Arabidopsis thaliana: one gene and its partner. The protein of the gene in region 1 interacts with the protein of each later gene in a pairwise test. Each region holds a gene or a part of one and is shown on either strand. Other genes may lie near its edges. The genes, in order: AGL87 and ARF11.

What was found.
Region 2: the proteins of AGL87 (region 1) and ARF11 interact in a two-hybrid assay, tested with the Arabidopsis thaliana proteins (one large-scale study listed by BioGRID).

The regions. Positions count from the first base shown.
Region 1 is NC_003070.9:7,980,371-7,984,942, reverse strand, and holds AGL87 (AGAMOUS-like 87), read right to left. Parts: upstream 2,830-4,572; 5' UTR 1,433-2,829; coding exon 941-1,432; 3' UTR 636-940; downstream 1-635.
Region 2 is NC_003071.7:19,103,231-19,108,970, forward strand, and holds ARF11 (auxin response factor 11), read left to right. Parts: upstream 1-1,881; coding exon 1,882-2,094; intron 2,095-2,174; coding exon 2,175-2,330; intron 2,331-2,408; coding exon 2,409-2,561; intron 2,562-2,660; coding exon 2,661-2,745; intron 2,746-2,817; coding exon 2,818-2,908; intron 2,909-2,990; coding exon 2,991-3,155; intron 3,156-3,236; coding exon 3,237-3,350; intron 3,351-3,450; coding exon 3,451-3,523; intron 3,524-3,615; coding exon 3,616-3,754; intron 3,755-3,925; coding exon 3,926-4,281; intron 4,282-4,382; coding exon 4,383-4,570; intron 4,571-4,663; coding exon 4,664-4,799; 3' UTR 4,800-5,101; downstream 5,102-5,740. UniProt on the Arabidopsis thaliana protein: Auxin response factors (ARFs) are transcriptional factors that bind specifically to the DNA sequence 5'-TGTCTC-3' found in the auxin-responsive promoter elements (AuxREs). Could act as transcriptional activator or repressor.

The DNA of each region.
Region 1 (4,572 bases):
ACTATGAATAAATAATTTAAACAGAAAGGTAATTGCTTTATGACAAAAACAATTATGAAATAGTTGATAAAAAAAATTATTTACATAAAAACATTTATCCTTTCTGGCCAAACAATTAATTAAGACTGTTGCAAATTAAAATAAAATGTAATCAATAATAATTTGACAGTTACGTAGACATAAATTATAGAAATTAATTAATTTAATATGTTTGATTTATTTTAAACAAACTAAGACAGATATGTGACATTTTCAATAATTACAAATATTAATTTTGAATTTGAGTAATTTAGATTTTTAAAATTGAACGATATAATAGAGTTTAATACGGTAAATTTTTTGCATCAAAGTTGAAAACAGACATATATATCATTTGTGTATCCAATGAAAGATTAGGCTTTCAGACACATTTATGAATGATATACATGAAAATATATTATTTATTGAATTAGCTACAATCGATTGTCTATTAATTTCTGAGGTGGATAGAACATACAATAGATTGTTGAAATAGATAATTAAGCGGAAAAAAATAGATAATTAAGCGAAATAGTTTTTTCATTCATCGACTATAAGCGAGATATATGAAAAGCAGATAATCAAGATAATATGTTTTCTTTGGTAAAAATTAAGCCAAAAGATTTTATGTAACATATAGAACATTAGGCTGACTAAAAAAGATAGAAATAAAATTAAAACAACAAACATATAAGGGAGAAAATCTTCCTAAAATATAAAACAAATCTGGTCATAAACTGAAAAGATCATATTACACCATACAAAGGCCAAAGAGATTCATATCATTCTCCTAATCCTTCCTAGAGTGCAAAAGCAAATCATTGAACAGAACTTTAAACACCATCAATCGAAACCATCTTAATCTGAAAATAATTAAAAACCATGAAATAAAAATGATAAGAAGTTATTTGAAAACATCATCCTAGTCTCTCTTGATGATTGGTGCTCCTGCTTCAACAGCCTTGATTCTCTCTCTGATGGCTTTGAGCTTCTTATCAACCACATCAGCTGCTCTGGCCAGTTCCTCCGAACAATCAGTATCGGTGATTAGATCATTAGACCCAGCCATTAACCCAAGTTTCATCGCACGAGTATGCATCTTCTCCTTCTCCAACTTCTTCTCTGCGTCTTGGATCATCTTGTTCATGAGATCCTTCTGGTCCATCATGTATTTGGTCTGCTTCTCTACCGGAAGTTCGCTTAACCTGTTAAGAATAGAACGAACCTCGTTAAGGTTTGGCCAGAGCTCAGGGCCATCTTTGTATTCGCTGTAGATGATGGCACAAGCGGGTAAACCACATAGAACGGTCAGTTCATAGATCTTCTTCAATAAACCATCTTTGCGTTTTCTGAATGTAACTCGGCGAGTGGCGTTGTCAGAAATCAATTGGTGTGTAACTTTTCTTCTTCCCATGGTGAAAAAAAAAAATGAAGAAGAGAAGAGGATTTTGGGTGGTTTTAGGGACTAGATGGGTAAAATGTTATATAGAGAGTTTCTAACTTTGATTTTGGCTAGGTCCACAAAAGACGTTTCATCAAATTATAGAAAGGTATTATTTAAATATTAAAAAGCAAATTATAGAAAGGTATTTTTAAATGTAAAAAGCAAATTATAGGAAGGCTGTAACAGAAAAATACATATAAGATTTAAGGGAAAATATAGATATAAAAGCTTTCTAAATAAGAAGATTTATATCAATTTATTTTCATTTTATTAGTTGTCTTGTGTTTGTTAGTCTAATGAACCTGTAAAAAGAGGAAGGTAATATTTGCCTATTAATGTCCCTATATATGTTTTACCATATAAACAAGTTTGAACTTTTTTTTTCTTACACTAGACCAATCAGAAAGAGGATATGATGAGTTGTATATTTGTAATGTTGTAGACATGCATTTTCTTTACATAATTTTATTATACTACTGACAACAAGAAATTAATTTATCCTACATGTCAGTTAAACATTATAATTGGTAATCACAGAAGCCTATGCGTGGACAAAAAAAAAAATTGTTGAAAAACTCTGTGAGATTTAAAAATATATACAAAAGGCAATATGTAATAAAAGTTATGTAATTATCAATAAGAGTATCTCTAATTTTGTCTTTTTACATTTAATTACATTGTATTAAATATTTTCTTCCATTATTAGTCATAATAGTCTCATTACATTACTGATTTTAACTTTTCTAGTGTTAGGCCTTTATGATTATGATTTTTAAATTTGACTGACGTATGTAATTTCTGATGGTAAAAATAGTTATTCTTAATAGAGTTAATGAGTTATAGTATATACACATGTAGGAGGTGTGCATATATGTAAATATTTACAAATTACAACACATCATATTCTCTTCTATTTGGTCTATTGTAAAAAAAAGGGTCAAACTCTCTAATATGGTAGAACATATATGGGAACAGTAATAGGCAAAATATTTAGTTACATAGTTATTAACTCATTGGCTGTTGTGATTACTAATTGTAAAGTACTCGATTGGTATAGTTATATACACACTGATTCACTTCACACATACGAGGTGTGTGTGTGTAATATTGTATACTATTAAGTAATTATGTAAAAGCTAAATATGTAAGAATAATGATCGAAGCTTAGTTAATGAATTTTATCTAATATTTGAAATTATAATTCAACTACTTTCCTCAAAGTTTTCTAGTGAAAACTTATTCAAAAAAAAAAAAGAAACCACTAATTCAGCAAGAGAGAATAAACAATGAATGGGTAGACCAAACAATTGAAATTCCGTGGACATATATGTAATGTAATAGGCTAATAGTTAGATTAATGAACTTACCGTCTCACGGAAGGACTCCTTAAAGATCTGCAAGCCACTCTGACCGATTTGGTAGATTCGTTCGTTTTACTGTCGTCAACAATGAAAAAAATATAAAACAAACGTTAGATATCTAAAAATTAAGGGTTACTTTCAACAACAACAACAAATTTTGAAGAGTTAGACAGTAATTTTTTGTGTGGCTATTGATAGAGTCTCATCGCCAACACTCATGTTGAACTATTAGAAACAATACATACAAACATCGTTTCGGTGCCATTGTCATCGTCGATGTCGCTCTAAGAAACAGATCTAAAACTTTTAGAGAAGATATGGATATGTGGTGAAATGAGATGAATGGTGGATAATCTTATATTTATTTTAAAATTGGGCGGAAAAAACTATATTTTCGTAACTCTTTTTTAAGTAAGCAATATTTAGTTTTTTTTTTCTTTCTATTTTGTGACGCGTGTTATAAACTATTAAATATGAAATTAATTTTACATTTAAGATTCTGTAAAATGAGGAGATATGCATATATGGTGAAATTGAAATGTATGGTATATAATTTATTTATTTGTTTGTTTAGCAATTGAGCAAAAACTATTCTTGTAACGCTTTTTCATGTTTGACATGTTGATTTTTGTTTTTTGTGACACGATTTGTAATATAATGATATAATTATTAGCTTTTTAATATTTTTTAAAATGATGAAATTTACTTTGTCACACCTAAAATTGATAAAATTTTGTATTTTTTTAGAAATCTAATGTTAAATTATATTAAAAAAAAATGCAAACGTTTATACATCGAAATGCAAACTTTTCTTAAAACCGAATCAAAATATGGTTCAATCTATCTATCCTTGACTTTGTTGTGACGCAAACCACACTTAAAGTCCTCCAATGTATTTTTCTTCCCCTTTCATTGTTATGGTGCTCAAGCGGTTTCTCATATTTCTATCAATCAGCTTGACAAATTTCTCTTTTCTTGATGGTTTTTCTCCGTGTCTTCTATCATTCCTTTCACGCCAAATAGAGTGTATCGTGTTTTGGAACACATACCTTAGTATAAACCTTTTCGTTGTGTCTCGGTTTTTGTTCGCAAGCTCCCTCATGATATCCCGCCATTTTTCAGTGAACTTGTTTGCTAGGATCCCCCGTGCCAGCTCCTCCCACACCTTTCTCGAATACGGACATTGGAAGAACAAGTGCTCTCTTGTCTCCAAAGGATCTTGGCATAAGACACAGCTTTGATCTGCATTTTGGTTTCATTGAAACATCCTTTCCCCTGTTGCTAACCTGTTTTTCATCATTAACCAAGTGACAAACCCATACTTTGGTGTAGCGTACTTGCAAAATTTCGTACTTGCAAAAGAAGTTTCTACGAACTTAATGATGACGGAAAAAAATACATATGAAACACTCTACATAAACTAGTATTAAAATTCTTTATCTGCATGGTTGTTCCTTAAGATAGTTAGAGATCATTTTTGGGAAGTAAATAAATTTCCACTAAAACTTAAGACATTATTTGAAACACCGGTACACCGGTATAGTGCCTTCTAAAGAACATTCAATGTTCAAGACTTCCAAGTCATAATATTTTTTGTTTGACTTTAAAAGAGAGGAATCCATGTAAATATAATTTATTCGATGTTTGTTTGTATCTTTTCGTGAGCTTAAAGATATTACATATCTCGATCCTTTCAATATTGTTAGGTCATGATGCCATTTATCGATCTTCCGCATGTCACGCCGTTCA
Region 2 (5,740 bases), on another chromosome or scaffold:
AATAGAAAACGAATAGTGGAAGAAACCATGTAATGTCCAATCAACCAGTAAATCGGTTTAAAATATATAAAAAGTCAGTATTCTTAAGTAGAAAGATAATAAATTTGTGCAATAGTAATCAAGATAGTAGATACGCCGTTGGAATCAAATCTTCTTTTCTTGAATGTGTTGTTAACTTAAGCCAACCATTTGATTCTCTTTACTGCAGCTATATTAATTATTAAACACCAATGCAATAACCATACATTTCTTCGTTTTATTTAGTCTGTATATTCGATCATGACATCATTCTCCCACACTTCCAAAAAAAAAAAAACAATTCGATGACGATATCTATATTAGTTGAGACATGCATATCTACAATACGAATATTCGTTATTCTCATTTACTGATGTGGCGATTATGATTTATGACTAAACGAGTGATTAACTATATACAAAAAGTAACAATTAAAACAAAAGTAATAGAAAAATATTGTGAAATGAAAATTCCAGTGTATCACTAATGAAGCAATTAAGAATAGAAAACTAATACTATAATGTTTATATTCCCATCCGTGCGTTTCCATTCACTTTAAGAAATGATCATATTCGCAACCAACAATTTGAAGCAAACGGTCCTCTACTTTTTATTGTTCGTTTTCTCTTTACCGAATTTTAAAATCACGTTAATTATCTGTATAACTACCTTTTTGCGTTGAAGTATTTACAACTTGAGTAAAATGTAGATTCGTATCAGGATACAAACACACAATAATACTATTCAGAGTTCTTAGTAAATTAGTTTCCTTTTGCAGCGATTTATTTCCGTCAAGTGTATAATATAGTTAACCAACATAACTTAAGTTAAAATTTCCCAAGTATAGATATAACAGAAGATCAAATATCGACTCGAAACTGAGTTATAATTAAATTAACACGTGAAAATAAATAGAAAAACAAGAAAATATCTCGCACGCTTTCCAAAGCCCTAGAACAATAACGTTCGATGGATTGGAAAAATCTCTGCTGGTACATTCACGAGCCAACACGTTTGCCTGCCACGTTCCAGACACAAGCTAGAAAGTAACGGCATCGTCAAATCTAACGAGACTCATCAAGGAACAATTTATAAACATCAATTTCTTTTTGGTTTCACACGCCTTATTATGGTAAGAAACTATTTTTGCCTATTGAATGAAAAAAATTGATAAGACATATGAAGGATGAGACCTAACTATAGTCTTAAGTACATAACATTTACTACTACTCAAAACCGTTGTCTTTAATTTTAACGGTCCACATTCGTTCTCACAATAATTGACCATACGTTTGTTTAAATACTTCAAAGGAAAGGAAAAACAGCAAGACGTTTGTGAGGTAATGGACAAACGACACGTAGTTTGAAAGATGAGAAGGAAGACAAAAAGGCATAGAGAGGAGGAAGAGAAGGAGCGGTTTCGTAACTGAAACTGAAAAAGCTTTAAGAGAAAACCCGGAAAAAAAAAAAGAGAAATATTTTAATCAATTCTTCTTTATCACAAAGAGTGCCTTTGTATTAATGAATTTTGATGTTGTGTAATGAATACAGACATAACCGTCGTGTCTCGTCGTTAAAGAAACGAGAGTTTTTCAGCTCTTTACTTACCTTTTCTTCTTACCCTTCTTTCATGACTCTTCTTCTTTGATGGGTTAATAATGCTTTGAGCTTGATGATTTCGATTTTAGTTTCCTGTTAGTGTTTGTTTTCTTCTGTAAAGCTTGGATTTTTTTTGGTTTCTTCGATGGCGAATGTGGAAGCTGATTTCAGAACATCAGGTGAGTTCAAATTTTGACTTCAATTTTCTCAAGTTTTGAATTTTCTTTTTCTCTTGGGAAAAAGTCAACATTTTTAACTCTAATCATGAGCCAAACAAGCTTAGAGCCACTTATAATTTCTATTATAAAGCTTCAAATTTTGCAACTTTGGTTGAAATTGATAGCTGTTGGTTGGAATTTAGGGTCTAATGATGATGAATTGTACACGGAGCTATGGAAAGCTTGTGCAGGGCCACTTGTGGAAGTTCCTCGTTATGGTGAAAGAGTTTTCTACTTCCCTCAAGGTCACATGGAACAAGTAAAGAATCCAAACTCTTAAGATTATTCCTTGTTTTGTCTTTCTCAAGTTTTAAGATTTGAATGTTTGTCTTTTGGCAGTTGGTTGCTTCGACTAATCAAGGAGTTGTTGATCAAGAGATACCAGTGTTTAATCTTCCTCCAAAGATACTTTGTCGTGTTCTTAGTGTTACGTTAAAAGCAGAACATGAGACCGATGAGGTTTACGCTCAGATCACATTACAACCAGAAGAAGATGTAAGTTTAAAGAATCTTGAATTAATGTGATAAATTCAGTGAATTTGATTTAGATTTTGTGTGTATTTTATTATGCAGCAAAGTGAACCAACAAGTCTTGACCCACCTTTAGTAGAACCAGCTAAACCAACGGTTGATTCTTTTGTGAAGATTCTAACAGCTTCAGATACAAGCACACATGGTGGATTCTCTGTTCTTCGTAAACACGCCACTGAGTGTTTACCTTCACTTGTAAATGCTTTTATCTTTCCATCTTCATTTTACAGAGTTTGGGCCTTTCTTAGCTGAATTTGTCACTTTATGTTTTGATTTTTGATTTTCAATACTTAGGATATGACACAACCTACACCGACTCAAGAACTTGTAGCTAGAGATCTTCACGGCTATGAATGGAGGTTTAAGCATATATTTAGAGGTAACAGAATCTTTAAGAGAGTCTCTGAAAGCTTCTTTTAAGAGTCTATTAAGTTTTGTCTTATTTGGATAGGGCAACCGAGGAGGCATTTACTTACAACCGGTTGGAGTACATTTGTAACCTCGAAAAGACTTGTAGCTGGAGATGCATTTGTGTTCTTGAGGTAGCTAAAGATCTTGTGTCTTTACTTTCGGGTTTTACTTCATGGGGTGGTTAACAAGTAATCTTCTCATGTTGTTTTTAAGGGGTGAAACCGGGGATTTACGGGTTGGTGTGAGGCGTTTAGCTAAGCAGCAAAGCACGATGCCCGCATCCGTTATTTCGAGTCAGAGTATGCGTTTGGGAGTTCTTGCTACAGCTTCTCATGCTGTTACCACAACAACTATATTTGTTGTCTTCTATAAACCAAGGTTAAGTTTTAAACTTTCTCCATCTTGTATAGGTTGCTAGTGGAAGGGCTTTAAGCTTGACATTGTCTGTTTTTTGTTCAGGATAAGCCAGTTTATAATTAGTGTGAACAAGTATATGATGGCGATGAAGAACGGGTTTTCTCTCGGTATGCGGTATAGGATGAGATTCGAAGGAGAAGAGTCTCCTGAGAGAATGTAGTTTCTCATTTTTTGCTTTGTTCACTTGTTGATTTTTTTTTTATGAGTCCTCTCTTGAATGTTGTTGTCTGAAATTTTAGAATGGTTTCTTCTTCAGATTTACAGGTACCATTATTGGCAGTGGAGATCTATCTTCTCAATGGCCAGCTTCCAAATGGAGGTCATTGCAGGTTTAGTGAATTGGAATCATTTTCTAGAGATGATATATATCATATCATTCTTGTTGCATACTTTCTGTAAAATCTCTTCTTCATATGTTTAGATCCAATGGGACGAGCCATCTTCTATACAGAGACCAAACAAGGTCTCACCGTGGGAGATCGAGCCTTTCTCACCATCCGCGCTTACACCAACCCCTACTCAACAACAATCAAAGTCCAAACGGTCCAGACCAATCTCAGGTATCTTCAAAAACAATCAACTCTTTTAGTAATTACTGAAACCGGTTCTAAGAGTTAACTAAGTTTGATGTATTGCAAGCAAGATCTCTGATACTTGATTCAAGATTATCTCTCTAATGAATCATTCTCTAGAGATGATATATCATATCATTCTTCTGTCCTGCCTTGCAGAAATCACAGGGAGTCCTGTAGCTTCTAGTTTCTTGAGTAGTTTCTCGCAGAGCCACGAGTCTAATCCATCGGTCAAACTGTTGTTTCAAGATCCAGCAACCGAGAGAAACTCAAACAAATCAGTGTTTTCAAGTGGATTACAATGCAAGATAACCGAGGCTCCGGTCACAAGTAGTTGTAGGTTATTCGGATTCGATCTCACGAGCAAGCCTGCTTCTGCTACAATTCCTCATGACAAGCAGCTAATAAGTGTGGATTCAAATATATCTGATTCTACCACCAAGTGTCAAGATCCTAACTCTTCAAACTCACCAAAAGAGCAGAAACAACAAACATCCACAAGAAGCCGAATCAAGGTAAAACAAACCATTACTCTTTTTACTAGAGAAACTCAATAACTTACAAATTTTTGTTATTTCTCAAATTCACCACTTTGTTTCTGTTTGTTCCTTTTAAGGTGCAAATGCAAGGAACAGCGGTTGGACGCGCGGTTGATTTAACATTGTTGAGATCATACGATGAACTAATAAAAGAGCTAGAGAAAATGTTTGAGATTGAAGGAGAACTTAGTCCTAAAGACAAATGGGCTATCGTGTTTACAGACGATGAAGGAGATAGGATGCTTGTAGGAGATGATCCATGGAAGTAAGTTTCTCTCAATCTCTTTCTTCAGCTTAAAGCTCTCTCTCGAGTTCTTAACAATTGTGTTTTGTTGACAAACTCTCTTGAATGTTGCAGTGAGTTCTGTAAAATGGCAAAGAAGTTATTCATATATCCGAGTGATGAGGTCAAGAAAATGAGGTCGAAGTCGTTGTTGGGTGATAAAGGTACGATCGTAAATCTTGAATCAGATCAGAGGACAGTTCACGTTTAACTATCAAGTTGTTGATTTCTTACTTTCTTGGAGACTCTCTCAAGTCTCACCAAGTCCGAGAGTTAGGTGGTTTTTTTTTTTTTGGTTTTTTTTTTGGCGTTAGGTGGGTTTGTTATTTACTTGTTTAACATAAAGACTATAAAATATACAGTTATTATATACGAGTATATCGTATTAGGTTTCAAACGACGTCGTTTATGTAAAGTGTTTGCTTTTCCGACGTGGCTTTCGTCGTCATGACTAATGAATGATGTGTTAGCAATAACTTAAAAAAGGTCATATTTTTCTAATGTTAAGATTTTGTGTGGGCCTAATAAGATCGACGATTAACATGGTAGTAGTAGGCCCAAATACTGAGGCCATAACATTTTTACTGTATAAAATTTCTTCTAACCTTCTTATTTATAGTCAGTTGACTAATTAACCCAATAAAAGACCTATAAAAGAAAAAGTGTCAATGCAATACACATGTTTAATAAAGTTGATCAAATAATATTAGTATGATAATATACTTGTTAAATGAATAATTAATATGTAAGAAGACAAATGGAGTTAACCTGCTCCCTTTTTATTTTGTTTTGTCACAACTCACAAAAGAACCTGCTCCCTTAATCTTGTGTTTCGCGTAACAAAAGACCCACCTCCCTTTTTTTGATTATTATTATGGACGTCTTATTGAACATTTTGACTTTTTTATTATTGCAAAAACCCTCACCTAAGACCACTTTCATCATATTTTAATAATTTTTCCTAAACTAAATTAATCATCATTATAATCTTAAGACTTGCGAGAACACACTAAGCTTGAGAAGAAATCATAAGCTCGGTGTCGGTGGGAATGTTTTACTGATCAAACTACATTTTGGTTTTGGGTCCACTTTGAGCTTTCTTTAAAATCGTTAATCATAATAAAGTCATTTGTCGGCAGATAATTTTCACGT